Linked DNA regions of Nothobranchius furzeri. The main gene of each other region encodes a partner of the protein of the gene in region 5 in a complex. Links are inferred from orthologs where the notes say so. Each region holds a gene or a part of one and is shown on either strand. Other genes may lie near its edges.

What was found.
Region 1: snrpe (region 5) and cwc15 share a complex: the UniProt entries of both Homo sapiens proteins name them as parts of the minor spliceosome. The link is inferred for Nothobranchius furzeri from reciprocal best matches to the Homo sapiens genes SNRPE and CWC15.
Region 2: snrpe (region 5) and snrpd3l share a complex: the UniProt entries of both Homo sapiens proteins name them as parts of the U7 snRNP complex. The link is inferred for Nothobranchius furzeri from reciprocal best matches to the Homo sapiens genes SNRPE and SNRPD3.
Region 3: snrpe (region 5) and gemin4 share a complex: the UniProt entries of both Homo sapiens proteins name them as parts of the SMN-Sm complex. The link is inferred for Nothobranchius furzeri from reciprocal best matches to the Homo sapiens genes SNRPE and GEMIN4.
Region 4: snrpe (region 5) and smx5 share a complex: the UniProt entries of both Homo sapiens proteins name them as parts of the U4/U6-U5 tri-snRNP complex. The link is inferred for Nothobranchius furzeri from reciprocal best matches to the Homo sapiens genes SNRPE and LSM2.
Region 6: snrpe (region 5) and armc7 share a complex: the UniProt entries of both Homo sapiens proteins name them as parts of the minor spliceosome. The link is inferred for Nothobranchius furzeri from reciprocal best matches to the Homo sapiens genes SNRPE and ARMC7.
Region 7: snrpe (region 5) and gemin5 share a complex: the UniProt entries of both Homo sapiens proteins name them as parts of the SMN-Sm complex. The link is inferred for Nothobranchius furzeri from reciprocal best matches to the Homo sapiens genes SNRPE and GEMIN5.

Annotation. Positions count from the first base shown.
Region 1 is NC_091750.1:48,553,597-48,557,191, forward strand, and holds cwc15 (protein CWC15 homolog), read left to right. Parts: upstream 1-1,160; 5' UTR 1,161-1,311; intron 1,312-1,396; exon of another isoform or gene 1,397-1,539; intron 1,540-1,641; 5' UTR 1,642-1,657; coding exon 1,658-1,788; intron 1,789-1,871; coding exon 1,872-1,984; intron 1,985-2,088; coding exon 2,089-2,189; intron 2,190-2,260; coding exon 2,261-2,371; intron 2,372-2,468; coding exon 2,469-2,617; intron 2,618-2,728; coding exon 2,729-2,858; 3' UTR 2,859-3,095; downstream 3,096-3,595. UniProt on the Homo sapiens protein: Involved in pre-mRNA splicing as component of the spliceosome. Component of the PRP19-CDC5L complex that forms an integral part of the spliceosome and is required for activating pre-mRNA splicing.
Region 2 is NC_091746.1:48,714,724-48,718,978, reverse strand, and holds snrpd3l (small nuclear ribonucleoprotein D3 polypeptide, like), read right to left. Parts: upstream 2,801-4,255; 5' UTR 2,669-2,800; intron 1,879-2,668; 5' UTR 1,864-1,878; coding exon 1,738-1,863; intron 951-1,737; coding exon 758-950; intron 375-757; coding exon 310-374; 3' UTR 179-309; downstream 1-178. UniProt on the Homo sapiens protein: Plays a role in pre-mRNA splicing as a core component of the spliceosomal U1, U2, U4 and U5 small nuclear ribonucleoproteins (snRNPs), the building blocks of the spliceosome.
Region 3 is NC_091753.1:62,515,922-62,520,158, forward strand, and holds the start of gemin4 (gem-associated protein 4), read left to right. Parts: upstream 1-1,437; 5' UTR 1,438-1,533; coding exon 1,534-1,543; intron 1,544-1,876; coding exon 1,877-3,841; intron 3,842-3,930; coding exon 3,931-4,087; intron 4,088-4,160; coding exon 4,161-4,237. Other genes in the region: dhrs13b.2 (tapasin-related protein), read right to left, coding at 1-216, 311-586, 661-837, 942-987. UniProt on the Homo sapiens protein: The SMN complex catalyzes the assembly of small nuclear ribonucleoproteins (snRNPs), the building blocks of the spliceosome, and thereby plays an important role in the splicing of cellular pre-mRNAs.
Region 4 is NC_091756.1:60,995,450-60,999,571, forward strand, and holds the start of smx5 (smx5), read left to right. Parts: upstream 1-1,322; 5' UTR 1,323-1,399; coding exon 1,400-1,402; intron 1,403-1,591; coding exon 1,592-1,659; intron 1,660-1,987; coding exon 1,988-2,018; intron 2,019-2,104; coding exon 2,105-2,164; intron 2,165-4,122. UniProt on the Homo sapiens protein: Plays a role in pre-mRNA splicing as component of the U4/U6-U5 tri-snRNP complex that is involved in spliceosome assembly, and as component of the precatalytic spliceosome (spliceosome B complex).
Region 5 is NC_091743.1:2,209,503-2,213,462, reverse strand, and holds the start of snrpe (small nuclear ribonucleoprotein E), read right to left. Parts: upstream 2,801-3,960; 5' UTR 2,661-2,800; coding exon 2,607-2,660; intron 805-2,606; coding exon 778-804; intron 701-777; coding exon 638-700; intron 1-637. UniProt on the Homo sapiens protein: Plays a role in pre-mRNA splicing as a core component of the spliceosomal U1, U2, U4 and U5 small nuclear ribonucleoproteins (snRNPs), the building blocks of the spliceosome.
Region 6 is NC_091756.1:50,515,179-50,519,237, reverse strand, and holds the start of armc7 (armadillo repeat-containing protein 7), read right to left. Parts: upstream 2,801-4,059; 5' UTR 2,768-2,800; coding exon 2,708-2,767; intron 2,634-2,707; coding exon 2,546-2,633; intron 549-2,545; coding exon 405-548; intron 326-404; coding exon 1-325. UniProt on the Homo sapiens protein: As a component of the minor spliceosome, involved in the splicing of U12-type introns in pre-mRNAs.
Region 7 is NC_091750.1:72,354,333-72,358,590, forward strand, and holds the start of gemin5 (gem-associated protein 5), read left to right. Parts: upstream 1-1,458; 5' UTR 1,459-1,582; coding exon 1,583-1,724; intron 1,725-3,986; coding exon 3,987-4,141; intron 4,142-4,258. Other genes in the region: mrpl22 (large ribosomal subunit protein uL22m), read right to left, coding at 1-31, 487-622, 1,069-1,111, 1,197-1,221. UniProt on the Homo sapiens protein: The SMN complex catalyzes the assembly of small nuclear ribonucleoproteins (snRNPs), the building blocks of the spliceosome, and thereby plays an important role in the splicing of cellular pre-mRNAs.

The DNA.
Region 1 (3,595 bases), on a different chromosome or scaffold from region 5:
CATTAAACTGGGCCAATATTAACTGATAATTTTTCCATCTTGTTTTCATTTGTTTATCTGTTTCAGAGGGTGAGGGAGGTGATGTGTAATTGTTTAGTCATGTGACAGTGATTGCAATCATCTAACAGTGTAAACATGTGTGGTGTGTGTACATAACGTCAATTCAGCTTTAATCTTTACAAATCTGTTGATCTTAGAAGCATTAATGTCAGTATATCGGTATTGGCAAACATCGGTTATCGGCCATAACAGCGATATATCAGATATTGGTATCAGCCCCAAAGTTTCATATCGGTGCATTGCACTGAAGATTTCTGTTTATTCAACTTTTCAGGAATATTTATGAGCTTCAGGTAAAAAAAATGTCATAGCAGGAGGTCAGAAAATAATGAAATGCAAACCTGAACCATGATCGCATACAAGACTAAACTGTGACCTTCTTTCATCGAAGGATTGCGTAATTATACCAGTCACTATGGTGTCATGTTGTGAGGTAAGTGTCTAACCCACGACTTACAGAATCAGTTCACAGACTACGGTCGGTTTTAAACAATAAATTAATGGAGAAAACAAGGGAGCAGCATAAATGTAGCTGAGATCTTCAACAGGAGTCGGGTGCAGGAATCTGCAGACAGATGGAGGTTAGATCCAGCTTGAAAAGGGCAACAGGGACTTTAGAAAACTGGGGAAGCACTAAGATTGGTCTGTAATTATCATACTGTAGTAAACAAGATTTGTGGTTTTCTTAATTTGAACACTACATTTTATTGACCTTGTAAACATCCATCCATCCATCCATTGTCTGAACCCGCTTTGTCCACGTAGGGTTGCGGTGGGCTGGTGCCTATCTCCAGCGGTCAATGGGCAATCAGGCGGGATATACCCTGGACAGAAAGCCAGTCCATCGCAGGGCAACACAGAGACACACAGGACAAACAATCATGCACGCACACACACACACACACACACACACACACGCACACACACACACACACACACACACACACACACACACACCTAAGGACTGTGGGAGGAAGCCGGAGTACCCGGAGAGAACCCACGCATGCACAGGGAGAACATGCAAACTCCATGCAGAAAGATCTCAGGCTGGGAAGTGAACCCAAGGCAACAGCTCTAACCACTGCGCAGCCGACCTCGTAAACAATACAAGTAAAATAGGTTCTTGGAGTCCTGTCATGCCGGTCAAAATATGCACGATTTTTCTCCGATTGTTCCTGAACGCGTCTAGTTCCGGAAGTGACGCACCGTTGTGTACAGGAACGTTTCCTTTTCACTTTTGGAAGCAGCTTCGTAAGTGTTGTTGCTTTAAAAACGTATTTAAATTGTGTTGTTTATTTTAAGCTTTGTGTTTCAAACATGTTTACTCTCGTAATTATCTTGCATTGGGTTTTAAAAATAGGAAATGTTCCTTAAATTGCATTGTCACCCACGTTAGCCTGTTAGCAACTGATTAGCGGTGGAAGCTATCAAGCTAACTTGTGTTTTAAACAACATTTAGGAGGAAACTGATCGTTAAAGGTTTTAACTCATATTAACATTAGACTTATTATGATGTATATCTAAAATTACTTATTGTAATTTATGAATTGGTCAGTTATTTTCTGCTTTACGTTTTGCCAGAGCACGGCCATCAAAGATGACTACAGCTGCAAGACCAACATTTGAGCCGGCGAGAGGGGGTAGAGGAAAAGGAGAAGGGGATTTGAGTGCTCTTTCTAAGCAGTATTCCAGTCGGGATCTTCCAGGTCACACCAAGATCAAATACAGGTCAGAACAGTGGGTTCCAGTTTCTCAACCTTAAATATTTATTCGAACTACTTAAACTGTGTTTCTTTCATCTCAATTAAAAGGCAGCCTACCCAGGATGCCCCTGAGGAAGTGCGTGCCCGTGATTTTCGCCGAGAGCTGGAGGAGAGGGAGCGTGTAGCTGCTCGTGAGAAGACCAGAGAGAGGGGACCAAGAGGTGGATTTTTCTACTCATAATAAAGATTAGATCCAAAAAGGATGTATGCAACGGTTTCTGGCATAGTTCCTTTAATCTGTATTGTGTTGATTTTATTTCTTCAGAGCACACCACATCATCTTCTTCATCATCATCATCTTCAAAAAGGCCCAGACTGGATCAGATCCCAGCAGCCAACCTTGATGCCGATGACCCTCTCACTGATGTAAGGATTTACATTGCAATACATCCCAGACTTACACTGGATAAAGTTATTAATCCATTTTTACATTACAGGATGACGAAGACGAGAACTCAGATGAAGAAAGTGATGATGACGACACTGCAGCCCTGCTGGCTGAACTTGAAAAAATTAAGAAAGAGCGAGCTGAAGAGCAAGAACGCAAAGTAAAGAGTTTTAAGTTTGTGTTTGCTTTGGCTATAAATGAAAAGTGATGTTATAGAGGATGGCTTAACCTCCGTGTGCTTTTCTTTTGTTATTTAGGAAAGAGAGCAGAAGGCAGAGGAAGAGAGGATTCGAATGGAAAATATTTTGAGTGGAAATCCATTGATAAATTTAGCAGGACAGCAACAGCAGCAGCAGCAACAACAGCAACAGAGCCAAACTCAGAACACATTCAGAGTCAAGAGAAGGTATTTCTTATGTTCACTTGTTACAGCAAGAATGTTGGTTTTTTGTTTGTTTGCATTTGGAAAAACAAATATATTCCTTCACCACCACTAATAATTCTGATGTACTTCTAGGTGGGATGATGACGTAGTGTTCAAAAACTGCGCCAAAGGAGTGGATGAGGCGCGGAAAGAGAAACGTTTTGTCAACGACACGCTGCGCTCTGAGTTCCACAAGAAATTTATGGAGAAATATGTAAAGTAGAGGACTTTGTGTGTGTGTTTCATTTGATCTTTTTTAATTGAAAATGTTTTAGTTTCAAGCATTTTAATTGCAGCTGGCATTTATTTACAGTCTAACTAATTGGAAACCGTACTGTCTGCAGGTCAGTTGCTGTTTGCGTAAATCATGAAAGTTTGAAGCACATTTCAGAATGTGATTTCAGTATTTCTGTCATGCATTTTTCATTATTTGAATAAACATTGACTTTTTTCCCTTGAATTACTTTGCATAATTTCACAGAAATAACAGATTGTGCATTTTTTAATTTTAAAGGGTAAATTAACTTAAAAAGTTAAGTTTTATAAAAAATGCTAGGGGTGGGGTGCCTAAAATCAGCACAGAAATGGGTATGAAGAGTGTTGCTTTTCATTTAACCCTCCACTCCCTAGTGCTTTTTTTGTGCAAAAGGTAATGGGTTTTGCAAAAGTTCAAGGATGTGGCGAGGGTTAAAAGATACTTTGTAACTTGTTCATATTTTTAGATAATTTTCTTGAGCCAGTATGTGCTAAAATAACCCTTCACAGTGTTAATGAAATGCCACCCAGCCCCTATCGCCCCCTGTGGCCAAAATATCCCACTTGCAGCTTCACAGTTGCTGGTCTGATCTGTTGAACTTAGAAGAACTTGAGCTGACATACCTGGCGCTGCAGTCTAGTTCCAGCAAGTTTCCTGCATGGTTTAGATCATGAACACAGCTGATTTGTTTCATTTAGTGATGA
Region 2 (4,255 bases), on a different chromosome or scaffold from region 5:
ACTAGGATAAATATGCAGTAAAATGCTTTTCCGTGGGTAAATGTACAAATTTTACTTGCTAAAAGGTTACAATACACAATATAAATGAAAGAGGTGGGACTCAAAATTGAATAATACTACAAAAAAAGGGCTTCAATGGGGCAAAGCACAGCAAAGGTTCAGTCAAGAAGAGCAACACTGAGCTGAAATCTGTTTATTTCATACAAAATAAAAACAGTGATAAATTGTAGAGCAAAAGACTGCAAAGTAAACCAAAGCATAGTAAATCCAAAAGATGACATCAAACAATGAAATTTAAAACAAAATAAGTTATCGTCTCTTCTGGAAAATGTTGCCTCTCCCCATTCCACCACGACCTCGTCCTCTTGCAGCCACTGTTAAAAGTAAAAATAAAAAGTCAAACTCCAAAAAAAGGTATCTCTTTGGTCTGGAAGAAATGCCCCCCCACAAATCCCTATTTTCCCTACTCAAATATTTTGACTATGTTGGACTTCTACAAGAGAAGAAATTAGACAATACCATTAAACATTCCTTTGAAAAAGCCTTTTTTTCCCTTTATATTAGATAAAAAAGAATTGGGATCTGTCTTTCAAACCATTCCACCTCAGAAAATGTGAGAAGTGTCCACATAGAACACTGTTGTTACCTGTAAAAAAAAGTAATTAACAACTATTTAAGAGCCAAGCAGCTAAAGAGGGAACTAAACTCTAGCGCTGTCTCAGCATCTGGAGAAATTGTCCAAATGCTTCTCACTCACCTTGTGCTTTAAGAATAGCTGCCTTTCCTCTTCCTGCCCCAGAGCCTTGGTTCTTGTTCTTCATACTCTTTAACATCGGAGCATTCTTTAACATGTCCGGTAGGATCAAAAAGCGGATCTTGCTGCCGCGAATGTAGACCTGTTCCAACTGTGCAACCCGGCCATCGCGGTAGGTCACGGTGATGTTGGACATCTGTAGGGACAAATTCAAGTTTAGGTCCACAACAGGTGAAATGACCGTGTGAGCATCCATTAATCCAGTTCTGTTACTTATCTGGATCTTGGTGCACACAGGTTACCAAACTAGCATGGCTCAAATGTAAATTAACATTTCAGTTTATTCAACCCTTATAAAAATGTGTGCTGAAATAGAATCCAATTGAAGAGTGATGTTACTTTAGACTGTTTATTAAATTATGATGCAACAACAGAGTTAAATAACTGACTGAACTGGGTAAATCATGAAAGCTAAAGACCAACTTAAAATGAAAACCCAACATAAAAGCCTTTCTGATAAGAATGCTTTAATGAAACACTTTTACAAAAAAATAAAACTCTTCACACCAAGCATCCATGTACACCATTGTTTGGCCAAACGTTTTGCAATTTAGGGGAACACTAATCCCAAACACAAATTAGTTTACCAGTAATTACACAAACAAAAGCTTTTATGACTACATACCCCACAAAAAATCCACATTAACAGAACACCTTAAATGCCAAATTTACTGACCCAAGTTATTGTGAGTGCACAAAATAAAAATTAAATATTTTTTTTAATTTAACCCATTAAAAAGCTGCAAGAAAGGCAATTTGCAAGAGAAATAAAAACAAAATTTATTCAGGCAGCAGATGGGATTGAAACAAGCACTGACTGGATGTTTATGATCAACAGTATTTTGAAGGCTTTTCATTGACACTTTTCTTGACAATTAAAAATCACTGGAACCCTTTTAAACCATACTGCTAAACAAACCAACCTGGCAGTTCATATTGTCCTCTGCTTCTATCAGCTTGCCCCTGTACACCTCTCCAGTGTTGGTCTCACAGGTCACAATGTGACCCTCTGCCTCATGCAGGACCTTGATTGGTACACCGATGGACATGTTTCAAAGCTTTTCCTGGAACACAACACACAAAGCAAAAGATTATACGTGCTCACCCACAGAAATGTCTGCTCTTAAATATTGGCAACCCAAATCCATTTAACTTTATTGGTTAGCCGGGTTGCCCAGTTTCCAGCACTGAAATCTACAATCTGCATTACAACTAGTAGGAGAAGCAACAGAATAAGGCGAGTGAACTTTTTCATGACTGTGGATTAATACTAGTCACTGAAATTAAGACAAATAAGGAAAGACGCCCTGGGAAAACAGGTTTTGTGCAAAAAGCCATAACAAAAGAAGTGTTGTGAACCCGAACGCTACATTAATTGAAACTTTCATGTGGGACATAGTATTTAGACTTAACTAAAATGAAGGTGTTTTTATTATTTAGCATGAATTTACGCAGTAATACACTTTATAACATTACTAGAGAATAAACGATTTCGCTTGGGTATTCTCTTTTTTTAAGAGTCTGGTGGAGAATGTTTGATAGCATTCTAACCGCTAGCTCAGTTAGCCATACTAGCTAGCAAGGCTACAGGACAAATTTATCTAGAAACTACCATTAAACAATTCCAAACAGTAAATATGATTGGCCGTAAATGCTATTTACAGTTTACTACGATTAATAAGCATAGTTAAATACCTAAATATTTTACAGTAACATACGGAGTTTTGAAAATGCGCGTAACCTTAGCCATGCTACACATGAACGAAATAAATCGAAATTTCTAAATAACGAAAACCAATAGAAGAATGAGAACTCCGTTTCCTCAAACTAATTAATGTTACTCCTGTAACTTACCTTGACTTGTTCGTAAGAGTTATTTGCTTTATTGTTATTTCTTCTTGAACTGCAACGTGCGTTTGACGCTTTCGGGATCCTTTTGAGCCTTTTTTTCCGCCTGCAACGAAGGGTCACAACGAGTGTTTCCGGTGGCACCTACCGCGATGCATTGTGGGACACGTAGTTCAATAACGCCCATGGTTGAGGACTATTGAGTATGTACAGTCTATGGGACTATTATTTAGTGAAACTGACAAACTCAGCTTCTTATGTAGAATTATTTTTTTTATAAAGACTGAAACACATAAAATTAAATAAAATAAAAACTAAAATTATAAGAAACTATTTACATTTTAATCACGTTTCCTTAATTTATAATCTGTTTTTTACTTGTATTTGTTTTTAATTTTTTATGCTTGAGAAGCACCTCGCGATTTTTATCTTGGGGGCGCTATATAAAAGATTGTTTCATTCTTTCTTCTATAAATGTTGAGTTATGATGGAAATGAAAATTGATTTTCATTCTCCACAAGTAGAACATTGCATTTCTAAGAGGACTGAATATGTGTTTACGTACATCTGACTAAAGTTTAATGAATAAACTTGATTTCCATGATTTTGAAGGAAATCAGCTGTTGACTACATTTTCTGCATCGTCTAATGACGATGGGCAATTTATGCAGCTACACCAGACACTGAACTGTATTGTTTTAAAAAGCAAATGTTGATCCAGTAGCAGGATTGATTTGCATTTTCTTTCAGAAAAATAGAACAGTTTTGCATTACTTGTCATCTTGGCTCCAAGTTGACATTTACAGCTTTACATGGCTTTTCATAAAGCAGCTCAGTGTTAGGTACTTTTTAAATTCCCATGGAACATTGATCCATCATTGAATCACCCACAACAGTATTTTTATGATCTGTATCTCATGCAAATCAAAACAGCATTAGACATAAAAACAAAACATTAAAATGAACTAATTTTATCTATTTTTACAACACTGAGTATGGCCACAGTGTACTGCACAAATGATATGCAAAGAACTAGAATAAACATAAAGTACACATAATATACATACCCGTGTATGTTTGTTCCAGGAGATGTGTCTCGGGGATTGCTACGGGACACATAAAAGTGGCCTAATGCAGGTCTGTCCCACATTGAAAGAGCTTTTTAATGGGGAAAGAGAAGGCATAATGGGATAATAAAAGACATCATCAAATGAATCTTCATTTGATTTCCATTGCATTTGGCTCATTGACTGGCGTCAGCAGCCATGGCTGATCTGTAAACACCTTTCAGTGAGTAGTTTGTGGTTGGGCACTTTACGTGTGTGTGTGTGTGTGTGTGTGTGTGTGTGTGTGTGTGTGTGTGTGTGTGTGTGTGTGTGTGTGTGTGTGTGTGTGTGTGTGTGTGTGTGTGTGTGTGTGTGTGTGTGTGTGAGTGAGTGAGTGAGTGTGAGGAATCTTTTTATGATTTTGATGTGTGCAGGCCAGACCCTGAAAGTAGTGGTAGCATCACAGGTAGTAACAAAGTGGAAATAAGTCCTTTGGTTCAGCTGAAACGTAGCTGGTTTGTGTTCATTGGTGACTTCAGATCATAGG
Region 3 (4,237 bases), on a different chromosome or scaffold from region 5:
CGTCTCCTCCTGCCAGAGCCTTCAGTGCCACACCTGATCCCTGCCTGGAGCGTCCGGTGTGGCTGAACAGTCGGGTCCTCTCCCCGCGGCGTTGCCAGTGCCACTCCACAGTGGTGTTTGCTCCCCGGTGGTCCACACTAAACTGGCAGTGGAGCTTTTGTTCAGATCTCAGGCTGGTTTTCACCAGTGGTGTTTCTGTTTTCATTACCATGGCAACTGTGAGACCAGATGGACAAAGACAGAACACAGAGAAACACCATCAAAGAACCAGAACTGGAGCTGTTGGCATTATGGAGTGAAACTAACTGACCTGATGTAGTGAGCATCTGTCCATCAGTGATGGGAACCCAGCTGAGGTAGTCCTGCTTTCCTGGTGGAGGCTGGTCAGACGGGTGTCTGAGGAAGCCGAGCACAGTGAAAAGGCCCTGGTTGTGTTTGAGAGAGACGGAGAACCAGTGGTTGTACTCCCTGGCCTTCTGACTGGGCCAGTGGACATAGATGCCCTGTGTGCTGTATCTACGCAGCTCACACTCCAGCTGTTCTGCCTCCACTCCCTCCACATAGTGCCGCATGTCCACCTTGGACCCTGCAGCAGAACACAGAAGAGTAAGGTGCAACCGTTGTCAGGTGTGTAATGGTGACCTGTGTCAGGTGGCTTACCTGTGACCTGAAAAGTGATGGTGCGTAGATCTACAGGAGCTTCTCCTGTCTGACCAAACTGCAGCACAGCATTTCTGGGGATCCGCTGGGTCTCTCTATGTCCTTCATTGTTCATAATCACCTGTTCATCTGTGAAGTGACAGGGCAGCCATAGTATCTGCTGGCTACAGTAGACCCCTGGAGACAGACCAACAACTCAAAGCAGCTGATCCGAGTGGGCTTCCTCCAAAAACACAAACTGTCCCCACACTCGCAGGGATACAAGCCTTCTGAAGACTTACCTGTCCAGATAAAACCGTAAATAAGAATCCTGCAGGGTGGAACCATGGTTATTCATCAGATCTACTGATCCTTGTTCCTGCTTCATTCAGCTGCACATTTATTCTCAGAACACTTTCGCTTTCATTTACAACGAAAAAAAACCTGCTTTGCATGCAGCTGCATCACGTGACGAGCAGAGACAGTTTCACAAGGAGAAATACTGCAAAACACTTTTAAATGTCACTAAAAGCGAGTAACGTTTAAACCATCACACGTAGGGCTGAACCGGTGTTCCGGTCTGGCGGCAGCACTGGTGAACGCGGTGTCTAGTCAACAACGCAAAACCTCGCAACAGTAAAAACAAACCAGTCAACAATCCAACAGAAAAGGCGAGGAAAACAACAACAACAACAACAATAACAACAAGGTGAAGCAGGTTTGGCGGTTTGCTGGGTTAATGCGGCTGCAGTACCGTATCTATCCAGGGGTGGCGCTGTGGGGACGCCTCGCCACCTGACAGCAGCCCGGCTTCCTGCTGGAAACCGGAAGCGCCTTTCCTGGTAACGAACTGGTTCACGAGGCGGGCGGGTGTATGTTCCTGCCTCCGCAGCCATGGACAAAGGTAATTATTAATGTTAGACATGTCTCGTGAACTTGCGCGAGCTTCGTCTCCAGTCGGTAGAGACGAACATGGCGCTAAACGCTCAGGCTGAAGCAGCAAGCTGCAGGTTTGAAGAGCCCTCTCCTAGCCAGTCGTTCGTTCTGGACCTGCTTCACCTGCAGCCTGCCCCCCCTTCACACACACACACACACACACACACACACACACACACACACACACACACACGCACACACACACACACACACACACACACACACACACACACACACACACCTGGATAACGCTGATCTCGGCCCAGCTCGGGTCTCAGCCTGTTGCTTGCCTGTTTTTCAGATTCCGCCGTGCTCCAGGGAGCTTTCCTCCAGGCAGACAAACTGTGCCTCCCCTCATCCCTGTCCCTGATGCAGAAGGCGGACTGGAGTCGTGTGAAGCTCCCGATCCTGCAGGCCCTCAGAGACACCTGTGGGCTGAGCGCTCTGGCCTGGCAGAAGAAGGTTGTTTGTGTGGTGTGGTTGAAGCTGATGAGCAGTGAGGCTGAGGAAGATGTGGAGAAGGGGTGGAGGGACAACCCTTTCTTCTGCCTCCAGAACGGCCTCCCTGACGTAAGCCGGGCTGTTCTGCTGGAGCTGGTGAAGTCACTCTCAGCTGCGCCGGTCTTTGCCCGCTTGCTCCTGCGTCTGCCTCAGCAGCAGATCTGCACCGAGCTGCAAACGCTGGCAGAGCATCTGAGGACGGATCCCAGTCCTGAAGACGTCTGCTTTCTGTTGGAGGTGTGGTGGGAGCTGTGGAAAGGCAGAGACAAATGTCAGACGCAGGAAGACAAAGACTTAGAGATGATGTTTGTCAGCCAGTTTGCACGCCTGTCCTCCGATTGTCCCAGTGTCTCGCCTCAGGCTGCAAAACGCTTAAAGCTGGACCTTCCTGCATCGTCAGCAAACACAGACGTTCTGCACGTTCTCCTCCATGCTCTTAAGAACATGAAAGATCAAGTATCTACTACAGATTTGTGCCTGCAGTCCCTGTTAGTCTGCCTCGACGCTCTTTACACATCCTTCCTAACAGACCCAGAGGTTGTGCTTCCAGTTGAAGAGAAGTTGCTCATCCTCTGTAGGCTTGTTGACACCAGAGGACAGACGCAGGCGTGGAGCCCCAAACTCCTTCAGGAGGCTCTGAGAGACCTGCGTGCTGCTCACTCACCAGCTCCTTTTCAGCCCAGCAGGATGACGCTGAGCCAAGCTTTGAAGATCGTAGCAGAACTCACAGAATTCTGGCTGGAACAGGATCTCCTGAGCGCTCCTGGCTGCTCCGCGTTCCTGCTGCAGCAGAGCGTCCAGAGAGTCCTGGCAGCTCTAGAAGAAACGGGAACATCTGAGCATGTGACTGAGAAGAGCACACTCAGAGGTCTGCTGAGTTCACTGTCTCTTCCTGCCGTAGAGACCCCCCCTCAGGTGCAGGCTCAGGTCGCTGCCACCGTCATCAGTCACCGCCTGGAGGACTGTGAGGAGTTTGCTGCGCTGTTTGCCAGCCAGTTGTCCTGGACTCATGAAGAGCTGTGGGTGGACTGCCTGGAGAAGAACCACACGGCCTTCACGCAGCCCAACACCCTCATCAGCCTCTCCTCCACCCTCGTGAGTCGCCTGCAGCGTGGGAACGTGAACACCACCTGGTGCAGGAGAGCCATTAAAACGGCTGCAGATGTCTTCTCTGCTCTTTCGTTAGAAAACCAGAACAAGGTCCTCGCTGCAGTACCGAGCCGCTCCAGCAGGGGCTTCTTTGGCTGCTCTGTCCCCTCGGCTGTGGCAGACGGCTTTGAGCAAGAGCTGAACATGGCCTTTAACTGCCTTATCCAGGGAGGGGGCGGGGCCTCAGCAGCAGTGTCCCAGGGCCGCCTGACCACAGCAGCCTCTCTGGTAGCTCGAGTGGCCTTTCAGAGCCCAGAGGCGGCTTTAAGGTCCTGCTGCCACGCCGCCGTTTTCAACAGGGGAGCCTTCAGCCTCATGGCAAAGATCCTGCAGCAGCTGCCTGGACTCCGCGGACGGAGGGGAGGGGAGGATGAGGCAAACGGAAACGATGTGGAGCAGCAGGAAGCTGGAGGGCGTGGTAGTCTGTTCTGTAGGTGTTTACAGACGGCGGTCAGAGGCAAGCCACTGTCCGCCTGTGAAAAGGAGCAGCTCCTCAAGTTCCTGTCTCTGCTCATGGCGCCGGGCCCGACGCTCCAGGGAGAGCAAGAGACACAGAGGTTCTTGTCTCCACAGGAGGTGGTCAACACACTGGTCCTGCCTCGCCTCTCAGCTGCAGGTCGGGGTCCATGCTGGCTTTAATCTCATCTGTGTGTGATCTGTAAACGCTCGTCACATTCTGCTGCTGTCCCATCTGTGTTTCTGCAGCTGAAGAGTCCTGCGATGCAGAACTGAGTCTGCAGCTCCTCCACGCTGCTTTGGCTGTGGGTGTCCAGGAAGTAGCCCCCTCCCCTCACTGGGTGTTGGACTGCTCTCCCTTCCCCCTCCTCTATATTCTGGCCCAGCAGTACAACCAGACTCTCATGTGTGTATGATCCCGTGTGTGTGTGTGTGTGCAGCGGTTGTTGTTGGGCTTCTACTCATCTGATCTCTGTTAGGTGCTGGGAGCGGTCGTCGGAGGACAGCGACCACCTGAGCTCCATGGACACCAAGGAGCTGCTGGAGTCGGTGCTGA
Region 4 (4,122 bases), on a different chromosome or scaffold from region 5:
TTGAGAACCAGTGAACTCCTCTAGAAAGATCATGGTGAGATTCTGCACACAGTCTGGGCCAAAACCAGTTCATCAGAGACCACCGACAGATGGGACTGGAGAGCAGAGACACTGATGGGACTATACCTGCTTGAACCTGAGGGACCAAGGCAATCAGCATGGATGACTGGTTTGAGACTGGAAGCCTTCCCACACCAGGGTGACCAGTATAAGGAGTAGGGATGGATTCCAGATGTGGTACTTTTTAAGGCACCGACTGAATTATGTGGTACCCACCAGGGATCAATTCTCCTACGACTGGCTTTTTCATATAAGAGGAAACCGTCTTCCCTTGCTGCAGAGTTTTTATGTTTACAGCCGGACCTTGAGTTTTTTGAAGAAAATGTGAATTCAATTCAACTCAAAGCTTTGTTTATAAAGTGCCTTCCGCGACCTTGTCAGGGAGCCCAAGGTGCTGTACACAGTACATAAGAAACATAAATCACAATGAATAAATAGAAAATAAAAGCAATTAAAATAGTGCAAAGGGGGTAAAACATTGAAGTAGAAACAAATAGATAAAACAAGGGAACTCATCTCTATACCAACCATTCTGTCCTGTTTTGCACCATACCAGTTTCCGTTTTTTATTCATTTATTTATTTTAATAAAAGAAGCAGACAAACGCCAAATGTGAGCTTGTCATAAATCTTGTTGCATTTTATCCCACTGTTAGACTGACTTCTTTTCTCTGCTGGGTTTATCTTATCACCTAATTATTAGACTATCTTATGTCCTTGCTTTAATGGGTTAAGGCTGTTTACAAGTTTGAGCACATCTGTCATCATCTGTTTAAATGTGTGTCATCTAATCACAATTTAAATCAACGCTGATTAGGATTTAGACCTATTTTTCACCAGTTTTCATTATTCTAGAAGAAAAACATACCTGCTGCACACAGCTGGGCAAAATAGGGCCATTTACATATATTTCATACGTAGGTAAGGCACACATAGGTTTATCCTATTTACCAGGGCTGCCGACTTCTTTAAAAGTCTCAGAGTGAGATTTTCTTTATTTTAACATATCTCTCTCTCTCTCTCTCTCTCTCTCTCTGTGTGTGTGTGTGTGTGTGTGTGTGTGTGTGTAGGGACGTGGACTATTAGGGTTTGTTACGCAAAGTGATATTAAGGCAGATTTAATTTTTCAGAGGCAAATTAGATGCTGTAATCACACTTAAGTGTGTAAAAAAACACAATGTTGATTAATTATGAGCAAAACATGTCAAAGAAATGGATACGATTCAAGCTGAATATGTTGAAGACCTCTGGCTCCCCCTGGTGGTAGTTGTCTGTATTTGCAGCGCTCCCTGATACGTCATCAAAAGCGGACGCGACTACTGAACAAAGCTACCGCAAAAATGGTGAGCTAACCTCGTTCAATATTCAAAATGTATTTAGCATGACACCAAACACATGACAGTTAAATAAGTCGTTACCTTAGTCTTTGTGTAACTGTTAGTGTTTCCATTCTCTCTTTGTTCATAAACTGTCGTGCTCGACGTGTAGCGTGCAGCTACACGCTAACGTTAGCATGTCGTTGTGCTCCGCAGCTTTTCTACTCGTTTTTCAAGTCTCTGGTTGGGAAGGACGTAGTGGTGGAGCTCAAGAACGATCTGAGGTTAGTGTTTTACGGCTTGGCCTCCACTGCTGTGATAAATCGTTGAAGCTGTTGTTCATTTGCAGGAAAGAACGCTAGCAATTCGACCCACTGTAGCACCACGTTGGAAACAAGTGGTCTCTAAACGCGAAGCTTTGAATGAACTTCTGCTAAAGCTTGAGCTATTTCTTTGTATATTCCAATGGACTTGTAGCTTATTAGTACTGCGACGTTTCTACACGAGTCTGACTCGGAAATTAAGGCAACCGAGCTAAACGAGCCATGTAGCCTATTCAAAAGTGTCCAAATGTTTGTTTTCTTGAATATTTATCCACACATCTGTTTTCAGCATCTGCGGAACGCTTCATTCTGTTGACCAGGTATTGAAAATACACTTTTTGAAACTCTTTCAGACAAACTTCTGCAGTTTTTTGACATTTACATTCCTACTCTTTTTGGTTTTTAGTACCTGAACATAAAGTTGACAGACATCAGTGTGACGGATCCAGAGAAATATCCACACATGGTAAGTAGCATACTTGAGACACATCGGTCCTAAGGTCACGTTGCTTCAGATGTCTGTAGAAATCTGAGGCTAATCTCACTACGAGTGTTTTCCACATTCACAGCAGGGTTAACAAACACAAACTCAGCCCTCTAATTGGTAAAAAGGTGTGATTATTCACTTAAACCAAAGATGCGACAGATTTTTGTTTTGTTTTCAGGTCGAGTACTAAAGCCTTACCTCTAGTCCTCAGAAAATAAAAATACAACTTAATAGGGCTGGATGAAAACTTATTTGTCAGTGTCCTTTTGCAGAATTCCAATTTTACAATATTATACCTCCATATTTTTTCTTCTGTAAATATTTGCAAGTTAACTCCCTTCAAGCTGTCTACAGAAAGTGTAATCATAAATTCATCAGCAGATTAAATGCACAATTTAATCAGATTCTTGTCAAACATCAACCTAAGTGCCATTCTCTATCAGTTTGAGCTGTAGAAACACTTGTACAGCTGTATGCTAACACACATGTAGGTTTAGATATTTATGCCGCTGGTTTGACCCGTCTCTCAGCACCAGCAGGATAAATAAATCTCCGTCAGCAGCCACGGTGAAAAGTAGCGATGTAAGACAATATCGATATGGCAATATATCGTGATGTTTTTTCCTGCAATATTATATTGATATCCAAAAGCCATGTGTTGAACTTTTTGGAATAGTTTACATGCAAACATTTGTGTATTTTCTTTTCTTTTGGTGCAATTCAAACACTGACCGCTAGCTAGCAGCAGTGTGCATTGGGTTTTGTTTCCACCACTGAAATATAAATCCCTCTATTATGGTTCAGATACCTCATGTTTAACATGTTAAGTATCAGTTTGGACTGTTTATTGAAATTTTCTACAATAAATTCAGTCTAAAAAATCGCTGATATCGTCTGGCTGAATGTATCGCAATATATCGTGATATATCGTATCGTCTTCCCTGTATCGTGATACGTATCGTATCGCCACAATTTCACCAATACACATCCGTAGTGAAAAGGCTCACTAAAACACGAACAAATGTCCCCAAATAATTAAAAACCACTAATCCAAATGCAAAGTTTAGGGCAGAAAATTGACCTAGAGGTTTCCTGATCGAGCAGACACGTGAGAATACATGTAATGATCGCATAGAGACAGAACAAGCTAGTGGATAGCAATAGCTGCACCTGCTAATGCTAGAAATTCACTGTTTTTATATTTATATTGATGTAAAGATATTGAGTCATCAGGTTTCTTGTTTGAAATTATATCCACATTTAAAAAATCTCAGCCCTACAACTGAAAGTAAATGGGTTTTTAACTAGAAATTTATTTCAACCATACTTACTCACAACTTGGCTTGCTCATGGGTATCTCCTTAAAAATGTATCAAATCTTGACAAACTAGTTTTATTTTTACCTGAAGTCATAAAAACTCAAGGAAAAGTGATTTTTAAATAGTCTAGATTAACTCACAAACCTGTGGATTTGTAGCCCACAAACGGTTGTGTTTTATTAACACTCTCTGCAGCAAAGATGCTTTTAGTTAATACGTTTACTCGGACGTTCCGAGGACTCACCTTTACCACAAGGGTTAGACTGAATGAGCTTTCCACCGAACGTGAAAGCGTCATGAAATGGACGCTAAACTTACCTCGCTGAAATTAGCCACCGTTATAGCGAATAGGTTCCTTTCTACCGGCGGCTAGTGTGTAAGTGGCAAAAGTGTACGCCATCGTTACGCTATTTGTTTATGTGCTACCCTTCCAAAACCATCAAACCGGCCGGACAGGAAGCCGAACACAGAGGCGGTGTCAAACATCCCAAAACGTTCTAAGTAAGTCACGTTCAGATAGACGTACATCATTTCCTTTGAAACCCCCGTAGCCAATGTAAACGGAACAGAACAGACCTTGTGGATACCTGCAGCTGTCTTTCTCCTTGCCTGTTATTG
Region 5 (3,960 bases):
ATAATAAATGTCCTGAGTGCTGCCGTCTCCTCCTCTGGCCATTATTTCAGCTTTAGCTTAAAGAAAGTTTTGGTTGTAAACAACAAAGTGCGCATGTGCCGCCGGCAACTTCAGCAGATGATACGGTGGCTGGTAAGGGTCACCGCGCCTACACCGCAGCCACGGTAATCCACCGAGATAATATAGTTTTTTTTAAAAACAAGACGGTTATTACTATTGTCAACTTTTTTACCGGGGTTTACCGCTACACCGGTTACCGTGACAACCCTAGCCCTGACACACTTTCATATTCTCATGGTGCAGCTGTGTTCTCCAGAGATCAAGGACTAGGACCCAAATGAGGCTGTAATGCAGCAAAAACGTAAAAGAACCTGCTGAACTTTTCCCGCAGGACAAGTGTAAAGTTTTCATCCTACAACGAACAATACGGCACGGAGGAAGTTCAATATTTAATATGAGTTTTAGAGAAACTCTGGGCCGTGTGAGGTGAGTTTTTAAAGTTAAAAAAATCCTTTCACAGGCCCTGAAAACACTCTGAAAAACAGCCCATCCACGTGGGTATCCAGCAGCAGATAACCTATCAGGCATCCCTGTTGCATATGGAGGTAAGGAAGAATGAAACAAAGCCATTACTTACGATTATGCAGCCCTCTATCCTCATGTTGACCTGCTCATACAGCCACACCTGGATCCGTGAGCGCTGGGGACAGGCAGGGAACAACTTAGAGGTTCTTCATCTAAATAAAACCATTTCAAACTAAAGGGATAGCAACTTACATTTTGAAGGTATCTGAAGATAAGGTTCTGAAGGTAGAGTCAAGGAAAACCAACGCTCAGCAGTAACAGTACACGCACGTCTGTAGCCTACATTTGTACTCAGTTGTAGTGTTACCTTTATTCATTGCCATTAAAAGTAACTTATTACATTTTAAAGTAACAGAGTTACACTCAGCAGCTGCCAACATAAAAATCAGTACATAGGATTTGGTAACCATGTCCTGAAAATAAATGACAGCGGGGCTGGGACTGATGGTCGGACATCTCGGGCCGTGCCTTCATTCAGGTTTCACTTACAGGTTCCACTCCAAACAATCTCAATGTAACCGACCCGGCACAGAGGAGTTCTGCTCGTGTTCGGGCCAATGCCACTGACCGACTCTACTTTAGTTAGACCCAAACAAACATGTTTACACTTATTGTTATTATAAACCACAAAGGCTGAGGAAGACGAGGCTGAAGTTGGCTTCAGATCCGGGAAACCGCTAAAGGGCAATTACGCCCAATTTTTCTCTGACCATCTTTAATCTGCTCTGGCTGGAAAACTACAACACCTGCACTCTTCAAACCTGAACTGGATTATTCTAGACTAATAGCAGATTGCAAAAAACATCATTTGTGATTTGTAAAACCTTTTTCTGATTTGTGAAACTTCAAGAAACCAGATTTTAGCACGTTTTCTGCATCTAGACCACACTGAACAGCCATAGTTTCAAAACAACAATACCTAGACATTTCAAACCTGTACTGGATTATTCTGCACTGGTAGCAGAACAATTAAAATCAACTCTGATATTTGTGAAAGCTTTACTTAAAAGGCCATTTAATACCTTTTTGTGGTCCCTGGTTTCACAGCTCTGTTTCAAATATGACAGATGTTTAATTCAGGCTTTAAAAGTACTTTTCAGTAGAGGAGCCCTTAAGGAGCTCATGTATCTAACAAGGTATACTTAAGATTCATTATCGCGTGTGCACTAGGGGCACTTCGTTAGAAGGATTCAGCTAAACAGCTCACTCTAAATTCTAATAATCTGATAGCTGCTGACTGTATATCTTGTAGAAATTAAATATTAAAATCCAAATTGGTAATGCGACCCGTGTTTCACCCGATAATAAAATGTTAAACATGAGAAATGACCAGAGCCTAACTGTTTACAAAGCCCATTAAGATCAGGATTAAACTGATCAGCTATTAAGTGCTGCAGATAAACAGACTTTAACTTTTCATGTAAAATACCAAAAATAAAATTAAAACTCAGAACTTCACCGTCCAACTTCAATGTTTAGTTCATCCAATTCACATGTGATGAATCATGGACTATTTAAACTATGTTCGAGTAACCTGCCATTAGTCTAGGATATTGCAGTACAGGGCTGAAGAGCGCAGGTGGTGTCGTTTTCGAGCTAGAGCAGATTAAAGGTGGTCAGAGTAGAGAATAATTTGCCCTTTAGCCATTTCCCGAAGAGGTCGGAGGGCAGCTGTACAATGGCGTCCTCAGAACCTTTTCGATTACAACTGCAAAGTCCTACAAAGTACTCTGGATAACCGATGCTTCAGGAGATCAGAAGCTCCCATCACCTCCAGCGGTACAGCTAACCGGAGCCATTAGCATTAGCGGCGCTAGTTTTGCTGCTAAGTTCGCCTCGGGGCCGTTTCTTTTTCTCCGACATGATGCGGAACACGTGCATCATCTCATTAATTTTCATAAACACCAGAATCACACAGTTGGAACGGAATCCGCGCGTTCGTTCAGCGAACTGGGCCACCGGTTAGCCAGGCTGCTAAACACCTAGCTCCACTCACGCGTTCTCCATCATACAAAGGATACGATGGGCTGCACCATGACCTTCTGCACCTTCTGTCCTTGTCCTCTGTACGCCATCTCTCCAGCAAAACACCAACGAAATGTGTTCGGTAAACAAAAACTGCACCTTCTGGACCAAATGCACCTTAACGTTTGACCCGCGTTGAGAGCTAGCTACAATGGCAGGTTTCCGCGCGAGCAGGATCTTTAACCGGTCTGATTAACCGATTTTTAACAAACAGCAACGGAACAGCGCCTCCGCAGGACGGAGGACTCTACTGCAGCAGCCTGTTCGTTTTAGCACACCCTCAGGTGCCAGACATCAGAGCATGGAGGGAAAAAAGCAGGTTTCATTCAAACCCCATCAGACTTCTGACTTCATACCGTACCAATTTATTTATTTCATTTAAAAGCAGCATGGGAGCTGACCAAATGCGCATAACAATACAGTAACAATAAAACTCATAAAAACACCAATAAATCAGCCAATAAAAGCAGATAAAAACTACAATCAAACACACAATAAAAGAGAACTTTAAAAAGTCACAATCTGAAAGCCAAATCATAGAAGAGCGTCTTCAGCCGTGTCTTGGATGATGACTGATGGATAGTGAGTGACAAAGGCTCGCTTCCTCTTCGGGAGTAGCAGGCAGTGAGCAGGCCGCACTGCATCAAAGGTCTCAGAAAAAAGGTCTTGTAGCCTGACTAAACTTTTCCTGAGCTCCTTTTGTCTGCCAGACTTTTTTCTGAGACCTTTAGATCTGATTACGTAGTCAGAAGTCTGATGGGTTTGGGTTTTTTCTCTGTGGTCTGGATGGCTTTTGTGTCCCCAGAGGTGTTGTTCCAGGATTAGATCCGATCACGTGATTGGCTTGTTGAGTTGAGCTCATACCTCCTGGGGGTCAAAACAAAGTTGTATGCGTATATTTTGTAGTGTGTCGTCAGTCTGGGGCTTTTGGCCTCTAGATGGGGCTGTGTCACTTTCCAGATTTTACAGTCCATTTGTAAATATGAGACTTGGTTAATAGATGGACAAAAACAGAGTTAATTCCTCATCTTGATGTGTATAAAGCCCCTCTTTTCCCAGGAAGAAGGCCTTTAAATCCTGAATCTGACCATTGCTGGACAAAGCCGTTCCCCGTGATATTTATAGGTGGTTTTATAAAAAACGGGGTCTGCCATTTCTCTGTTGTGCACAGTAAACCTGTAACATGATGAGCCGAGTCAAGGAACACAGCCTTGAGTAGTTCACAATAGTATTAATAACATGCAACACAGGCTTGTCCCTGCCTCACAGAGGAGAAAGTGGGTTGATAATTAGCAGCCGAGGACAGACAAGTCTCTGCGAGTGGGGGGGAAGGCAAGGACCCTTGGTGGT
Region 6 (4,059 bases), on a different chromosome or scaffold from region 5:
ATCCCGATGGCCGTCTGCACCCCCTGCATCTGCAGCTCAGCCTGTCTCACCTGCTCCTGGCTGCAGCAGTCCTGCAGGAAGACCGAGGCCAGGTTGCGCAGACGGGGGCTCTCTGCGAGTGAGAAGCGCAGCATGCACTGAACGATCCCTGGCTCTGTGATCTGAGAGCAGGTCGCTGGTGTGGTGAGGTTCATCAGGGTGGTGACGGCAGACAGCACCGTCTCCTCCCTCCGGTTTGACAGGTGGTTTGTGATCAAGCTGATCCCATCGTTCTCCAAGATGATGTCTCTGCATCCAGGGTCCATACTGAGGTTACACAGACCCCCTGTCAACACAATATTTGAGTTTAGATGATTTTTACATAAACAAACATGATTTACTGTTTTAGTTGGAGAGATGCTCACCCATCCCAAACTCCACAAAGTTCTCATTCTCTTCGGTCAACATGTCCAGGAACAGGTCAGGAACCTGCAGCTCCCTCAGGTACTCCATGTTCTTTGGGTCATATGCAAAGTTGGCTAGATTTGCCAGAACCTGCTCCTTTGCCTCTGATAAAGAGAAAAAGTAATGAAACAAACAGAGATACCTACATCCACTAATTCACCTTACACCAGCTCATTACAAACAATGATAAACAGAGGCTGCAGCACAGAAACAGTACACATTTATACCACAGGGGGCGCTTTTTACTTTCACATCAAAACACCCTTCAGGCTCAAATGTGGAGCTGACAGTATAAAAATAAGATTTGTCTGTAAACTAGAAAGGCGAGGCAGCTTTATTTGTGTAGCACATTTCATACACTGAAGCTATTCAATGTACTTTCCAGGTGCATGACCAGCATGATCATAAAAGATTAAAATCAACGTGACGACGTAAAACAGCAGCTTTTAAATTCAAATTTTAAATACTCTAATAAAATTAAATGTAAGAAATAAAATAAAAGACAAAGTTAAAGACTGAGCGCAGAAGGTACAGCATGAGAAATAATCCTTCAAAGGCTGATGAATGCATGAAAGTCTTCCATTTTGACTTAAAAGTTACTAGAGTTGGGGCACATTTCAGGTCATAAAGAAGCTGATTCCATCTGTGAGCAGCATAGTAGCTAAAAGCAGCTTCACCCTGTTTGGTTCTGACCCGAGGTTCTACCAGCTGACTGTTTCCTAAGGATCTCAGAGCCCTGCTGGGTGTATATATACAGGAAGGAGATCCAACATGTATTTTGGCCTCATTTATAAACTAGCAGTAGCACTTAGTAATCGTTTCTATAGTTTAATGGCAGCCAGTGTAGATATTTACAACTGGATGGATGGATGTGGAACTAGCGCATTATTTAATTCATCACATTATCTGGCTACTTATTTTTAACACCGTTTTTTTAAAAATAAAAACAAGCAGCTTTCTGCGGTAAAATCCAACAGAAAATGTTTACTTATGGCAGTAATCTCAAAGTGAACTAACATGTAGAATGAACAATCAGAATTTGGTTAAATAACGTCACTTTTTGGTTTCCAAATACTAAGCTTACATTTATTTCATGTCACAACGATACACTTTCAGAATAAAACTTAAAACGCTGCTTAGAATTACAGCTTATTTGATGTATTTGTTCACTTCTACCTGATTTAGTCATGTTTACAGATTCTTTTTCGAAAAATTTTAACTTCATGAAGTCATTTGCATGTATTTGTGATCTTTTTGTCTTCTGAACACAATTCTAATGCTGATAGTCAGCCTTTCTCCTATTGCAATGGATAAAAACTGGTCTAACATATATACAAATGTTCTTTTGACGATTTTTTTTCTCTCACTTCAAATAAATATACTGATGGAGAGTACAGTTTTCGACTGAACAACGGCTTCTGAAAAAGCCCTCTAACGATATAAATAATAGTGATGTGTCAGTCCGAACGAACCGGCTCTAAGAGTCGGCTCTTTGAAGTGAACAACGGGAGCCGGCTCATCATTGGGAGCCGTCCCCTCCCCTCCCCCCTCCCCTCTTGCTTTGGTGAACGCTACAGGCGATTGGTCAACATGTGTAACTGTGTGACCAGACTGTCCACACACAGAGCAGTAGGGACGGGGAAGAGGGAGAATCAGACTCAGACACACAGCAGAGCACATGCAGGTGGAGGTAGACGAGAGGGAATGAGGAGGAAAAAGGTGAGCGAGATAGAGAGGAGAGTGTGATGAAGACGGTGAGAAAATGAGCGCCAGCAGTCGGAAAGTGACAATTTCTTAAAGTGTTCAGTTATTAAATCCATAGAAATTATAAATATTTGATATATTGCATTTTTTTTTACATTAGTAAATAATTTTACATATAGTTTTGCATTATTTTGGTTATAAATGTACTCTACGAAACAGAAAATCTGAGGAGCCATTTGGGAGCCGAAAGAGCCGGCTCTTTCTGGTGAGCTGAGCCATTCCCATCACTAATAAATAATAGCATGCATCTAAACTGAGGGTGTTGAGAGTCTACGTGTTCGTTTTAAAACGGTTTTTATTTTAACTTTGTAGAACACAGATCAAAGGTTATTCCTACCTTCACTGTCAGTGTCCTGAAATTCAGTAACCAGCGTCTGTAAATATTCAAACCGTTCAGGCGCTTCAGCTGACTCATTTCTCTTCATCTTTTAGCAAAAACACATTTAACACTTCAAATAAAATTCACACAGATATCAGATTATGCTGATGTTTAAGTTACTTGACCGTTCATAGCTGATTCAGAGGTTGTTTTCATTTCACGTATGGGTCCGCGGCTCATAAGTGTTCGGAAAAACTGCGCAAGTAGATATTTGTTCCGCTGTTTTATCAAAACTTGTTTGTCCGTGAAGATGTGTTCCCCGTTCACTTTCGCATGATTTAAAGAGTAACGCATTTTTAGCTACACGAAATCGTAACATCGTTGCTATAAACTCGCCTATAACGTTATAAATGCTAGCATTGCTGTCACAATTGTGCAATGAAATACGCGAGAGCTACGCGAGCCGATGAGGAAACACATTTTAAATGGTGTACAGAGATTGATACAACACCGGCAGCTGAGCGGAAGTTAAGGAGCAGAAGGTGTGTTTGTGTTTATGTGCTCGTACAACAGCACATAACGCACGTTGCGGGAGGTCAGCTTAACAAAAACGCTATGTCGCTTTGTTTATTTAAGTAAAACAGCAACAATGAATCACCACCGGCTGTCCGCGAGAAAGCGCCTCGCCAAACCCATTTTGTTCGGAACTCTGCTGGTTGGACTCGCCACTATTTTCATTAACAGGTGAAACTGAGCTTTGCTAACTGCGTAAAAGAAACACACGCACAACACATTTCACTGTAACACCGGTGTGACGGTGAAACTGTCATTGGAGACTGAAGCAAAAATATTAAATACTATGAGTTAGCAGCAAATCGTAAACATATTTGCTTGTCGTTTATGCAGACACAGGTTCCTTGAAGACGTGGTTGAGCTCAAGGCCCAGGAGCGAGAACGCAACTATGCCAGGATGATGGAAGTCCTGGAGAGGAGGGAGAAACAGAAAGAGCTGGTGGAGAAGAAGAAGCAGCAACAGACAGGAAGTGACTGAACATATGAACTTTTTGCAGACGACTGATGCTTTACAGGCCATCAGACATTACAGTCATCCAGTAAATCAGTAAATTATAAGACTGGATGGAAGTTCAGCTGAGCAGGAACCACGCTTTTAAATTTTGACACTCGTGTTGGTCAAGCGGGAGCAGAATTAACCACCATCTACATAAATAGCCTTATTTTTAACTCGAATCATCTTTAATTTGTCTTGTTTTTTTTATCTTTGTGATTACTGTCTGTGATGGGTGTTATATAAATAAAATGTACTTACTATCTGGGAAAAACAGACTAAACCCCTAAGCCAAACAGAAACAGTGGGAGAAAAATATTACTGGATAAACGATTTTTTTTTTTATCAGGGTTGAATTAAAACCAAAGTATCAGGACTTGTATTTTGTCATTAAGGTGTATCAAGTCTGAGATATAAATTTTAACTTCATAATGGAGAGGTTAGAGAAGATTTTGAAGTTTTAATC
Region 7 (4,258 bases), on a different chromosome or scaffold from region 5:
ATTTGATCTGCCTCCTGCTGTGGTAGACCTCCTGCAGGAAAACGTTCAAACATGAAGCATCAGGTGAGTCATCAGCTTCCTGACACCAGATGGTTTTACTACATCACATTTGCTCCTGCTTGATCACAAAGGTGGATCAGTTTGAGTTGGATCACCATGGTAACAGAGACGAGGTTAGGAGTTATGCATAAAAGGTGAAACTAGTTCTCTGAATCTGTTTTTAAGGAACTCCAGGTAGAAAAATGTGAGTGAAACAACATTTAGATCTGATTTTTATCAGATCCTGGAACCAATCAGCTCACAGCTGTTGGTTCAATGTTTCATTAAACACAATTAAACTGATTTATTCAGGGTCAGATTTTTTGCATCTCTAGCCCGGTGGTCCTGTTGAGCCAGACTAAAGGAACCGAGCTCTGACGATGTGTTTGTAGTTAAACCCTCTGAAGAATTGTTCCATTGGACTTGTGTTGTAAACGTCAGACTCACTGCAGGTCGCCGAGGCTCATCCGGCAGCTGAGGCGGGAACACTTTCCGGTTCGCCCTCTCCCAGTGTTTTGAGTCCAGTGGAATGCTGGTGTGGACACAAGAGAGCTGCTGTGACATTCCAGCCAGAACCTGCAACCTGGAGAGAGAATGCAACAGACAAAACGTTATTGTGGTGTTGAGTCGTGGCCATGCCAAAGGGCATCAGGCATTAAACTATCCAGCCATCTTCATTCGCCAGAGAAACTGTGTGCTCTCCAACCCAAAACAAATGGTCTGTTTGTAACCATCTCTCCATAAGCCAGCCACGCCACCTGGGGAACAGCCATAGCAAGGTTCCTTATCTCTGCTGCAAGTTACAAGACGTCTCCTCCAACTTCCAGGACCGGGATTGGGCCCCTCTGCTCTAGAACAGGGTGGACATTAAATAAACGGAATCCTGCGATAAACCACTGCTTTAACACCTGAAGTATACCTGTATTCTGCCAGGGTTCTATTAGTAACCAAAGTCGCCTGTTAACGACAACTGTCTCGTGCATTTCGTCCTTCTGTTAGCTTCACAATTTCAAGTTTAAACCGTCTCACCTCGACTGGAACAAACCGGATGTGCTCCTGATGAAAGCAACACCTGCAAACAGTTATGAAAATATTAAAAACAGACACGAACACAAAAATATGTTAAATTTGAGCTTATTTATAAAAACTTCATTCACCGCGTCCTATCATCGCAGTCGCCATCTTGAATTTTTACGACACTTTCTGACACTCCTTTGGGGCAAAAACGTTTATTTTGTTGTTATATACTTTTACTGCTGTACATCCTTCTACTAACACAACATAAACACCCCAAACGTATGTATAGATAAGCTCTATTCACTATAATATAATATAAACGGTCAGTACATGAATTTAATAAAAGCACAATCCGCACAGTTTGACCCAGTTAAGATCCCGTATTGAGGACCGACAGAATTTACGACACCACGTTGAACGTACGGCATTGATGTTACTGCAACGCGAGTGAGAAGTACATGTGAGCTGTTTGTTTTGGTTCGATCCAGACTTCAATGTGTTGAATTTCTGACATTTAAAGAGCAACATGAACGAAAGGTCGCTTCCCGCCTCCCCTAACTGGTACTGCTCGCGCTGCAGTGATGTCAATAGCAATGGTTTACTGGGCTTCGGAGCCAACACCGTCATTTACCTGGTTGACGTTTCTGCGTCCTCTTGCAAGATTACAGGTGAGTTTACTATTCTCGTTACCTTTCATACGGGGGTTTCTCTGTGTCCGCTAACAGAACAGATGCGAAGAAAACATGATGACTAGAGTCTGGAAAGTTGTTAATCTACTGCTAGGAAGTTCCCATGTACCCACATTCTCTAGATTAAACACCAAACATGCAGATTAAACATCAGAAACACGTGGTTCAATCGGGATATGTGTGTTGGTTGTGAAGTTTGGTAGCTGGTGTGAGGTAGGGCAACATGGGGTCAGAGAGAAAAGTGTCCTCCACCGGTGGGAGAAAAGCCCCGCCCACGGAGACCCTATCATCCACCGGTGAAGGGTTACCATGGTGACCCTAATTAGCAACTGGTTGGCAGTTACCATGGTGATTCTAATGAGATGTTGTTTGTTACCATGGTCAGGCGCGCAGATAGGGGGGTGAATTTGTTTTCTGTAAAGATTGGTAATCTGAAAATCATTTAATGTTTTGCATAAAGCATGAGGTTGTGGTTAGTAATTAATTGGGAGAATAACAAAGGGCTGATGTGGATAGTGCTGATCAGGCCGAGCTTTGTTGCCAGTTGCATAATGGCTTCAAACACGTATATAATAGTGTTAGTTTTTTCGTAAACCATTGGATGAAATTACACAAACTGTTTGAGCTCTAGCTAAGGCTCTTGCAATAGTTTGTGTATGTGTGTATGTGTTTGGGGGAGGGTACATTGGAACTTTGTCCCAACCCCCCCCCCCCCCCCCCCCACCCCCAGTTTGAAAATCCTATCTGCGCCCTGACCATGGTCACACTGATAAGCCACCAGTGGGGAGTAACCATGGTAACCCTAATGAGACTCCAGTGGGGGGTTACTGTGGTGACCTTAGCAAGACACTGGTAGTTACCATGGTGCCCCAAATGAGCCACTGGTGGGGCGCTGCTATGGTGACCCTAATTATCCACCTGTGAGGGGTTACCATGGTGACCCCGATGAGCAACTGGCGGACAGTTACCATGGTGATTCTAATGAGATGTTGTTTGTTTCCATGGCAGGGAGTAACCATGGTAACCCAATGAGACTCCGGTGGGGGGGGGGGGGGGGGGGGGGGGGGGCTACTATAGTGATCCTAGTGAGGCACTGGTGGTTGTTATGGTGATCCCATTGAGTCATCAGTAGTTGCCATGGTCTCACTAAAGCCGGGCGTACACTGTGCGACTTTTTCACTCGTAGCACTCAGCTTCAGCTCAAACAGGGCAGATCTCACGAGTCATGTGCTCACACTGCACGACCCAGTTCTCGGATGTGACCTGACTGCTCACACTGAACGTCTGGTAGAAACACGTCGGACCTAAAAATATGCTAAAAATAGCAGTTTTTACACAACGCGTCAGACTTTTTTGTCTTGTCTTGCCTGTTGTCCTTCGGGAGTGCTGCAGGAGGACACACAGGGATTTATGGGGGTTGGATGAGTAAAACAAAATAAAGAAAGTAAATCTGTGTTTTGTGATCAGTTTAATTTGACATGAACACGACAAACACGCTTTCTTTACAATCTTTGTGAGTAAAAAAAATGTGTAGAAACAAAAATGAACAGTGTGTGTTAATAGGGAAATAGCGAGCGGCGTTGATGCAGGATTGCGCATGCGCCGTGAGCGGTTCTGATACTTTTTGGGTCGCAGCTGCTCGCAGCACTGCTTCAACAGTGCGATACCCTCACAAGGGACGAGCAAAATATTAAATACGCCAGAAGTCTGTGCGACCTCACGACTGCTGATCGGCAGCTGGTCACGTGGTGTTAATCGCCTCTCGTAACCCCCTGTACACTACACGACCGCTCGGCGCAAAACTCGCCCCGATGTCGTGGATTCTCGCAGATTCTCGCACGAGTGGAAAATCGGCTCAAAAAAGTGAAAAAGTCGCACAGCGTACGCCCGGCTTAACGAGCCACAGGAGGTTACCAAGGTTACCCTAATGAGACTCCGGTGGAGGGGCTACTATAGTGATCCTAGTGAGGCACTGGTGGTTGTTATGGTGATCCCATTGAGTCATCAGTAGTTGCCATGGTCTCACCAACGAGCCACAGGGGGTTACCAAGGTTACCCTAATGAGCCACTAGCAGCTGCTTTAACCTGTCTGTAGTTTTTGGTTCTTTTTACACTTCTTATGCACCAGAAGGGCGATGGGCTTTAGGCTGAAGCGGTTCTGGCTCATCTTACCATTCCTCCAGAAATCTTCTGGTTACAATTTATTTTTCCTTTATTTTTCTTTTTTTGTGTGTGTTGCAGGTGAGCTTACGGGCCACAGGGACTTGGTGTCGGGCTTTTCGTTCTGTCAGCACCCGGAGCAGAGTCACTTCTGCGTCAGCGCGTCTACTAATGGCACCGTTCACTTCTGGGACTCCAGCAATAAGACTCTAATGAGGGAGCAGGCTGCTCATCAGGTGAGACTCTGCTGCCCCCCCACACAGATGAGTGATTTATAAAGTGTATCGGTTCCTCCTGCTGGCTGCTGGATCAGCTCATGAAGCCATGGACACGGGCATCACAGCAGATAAACT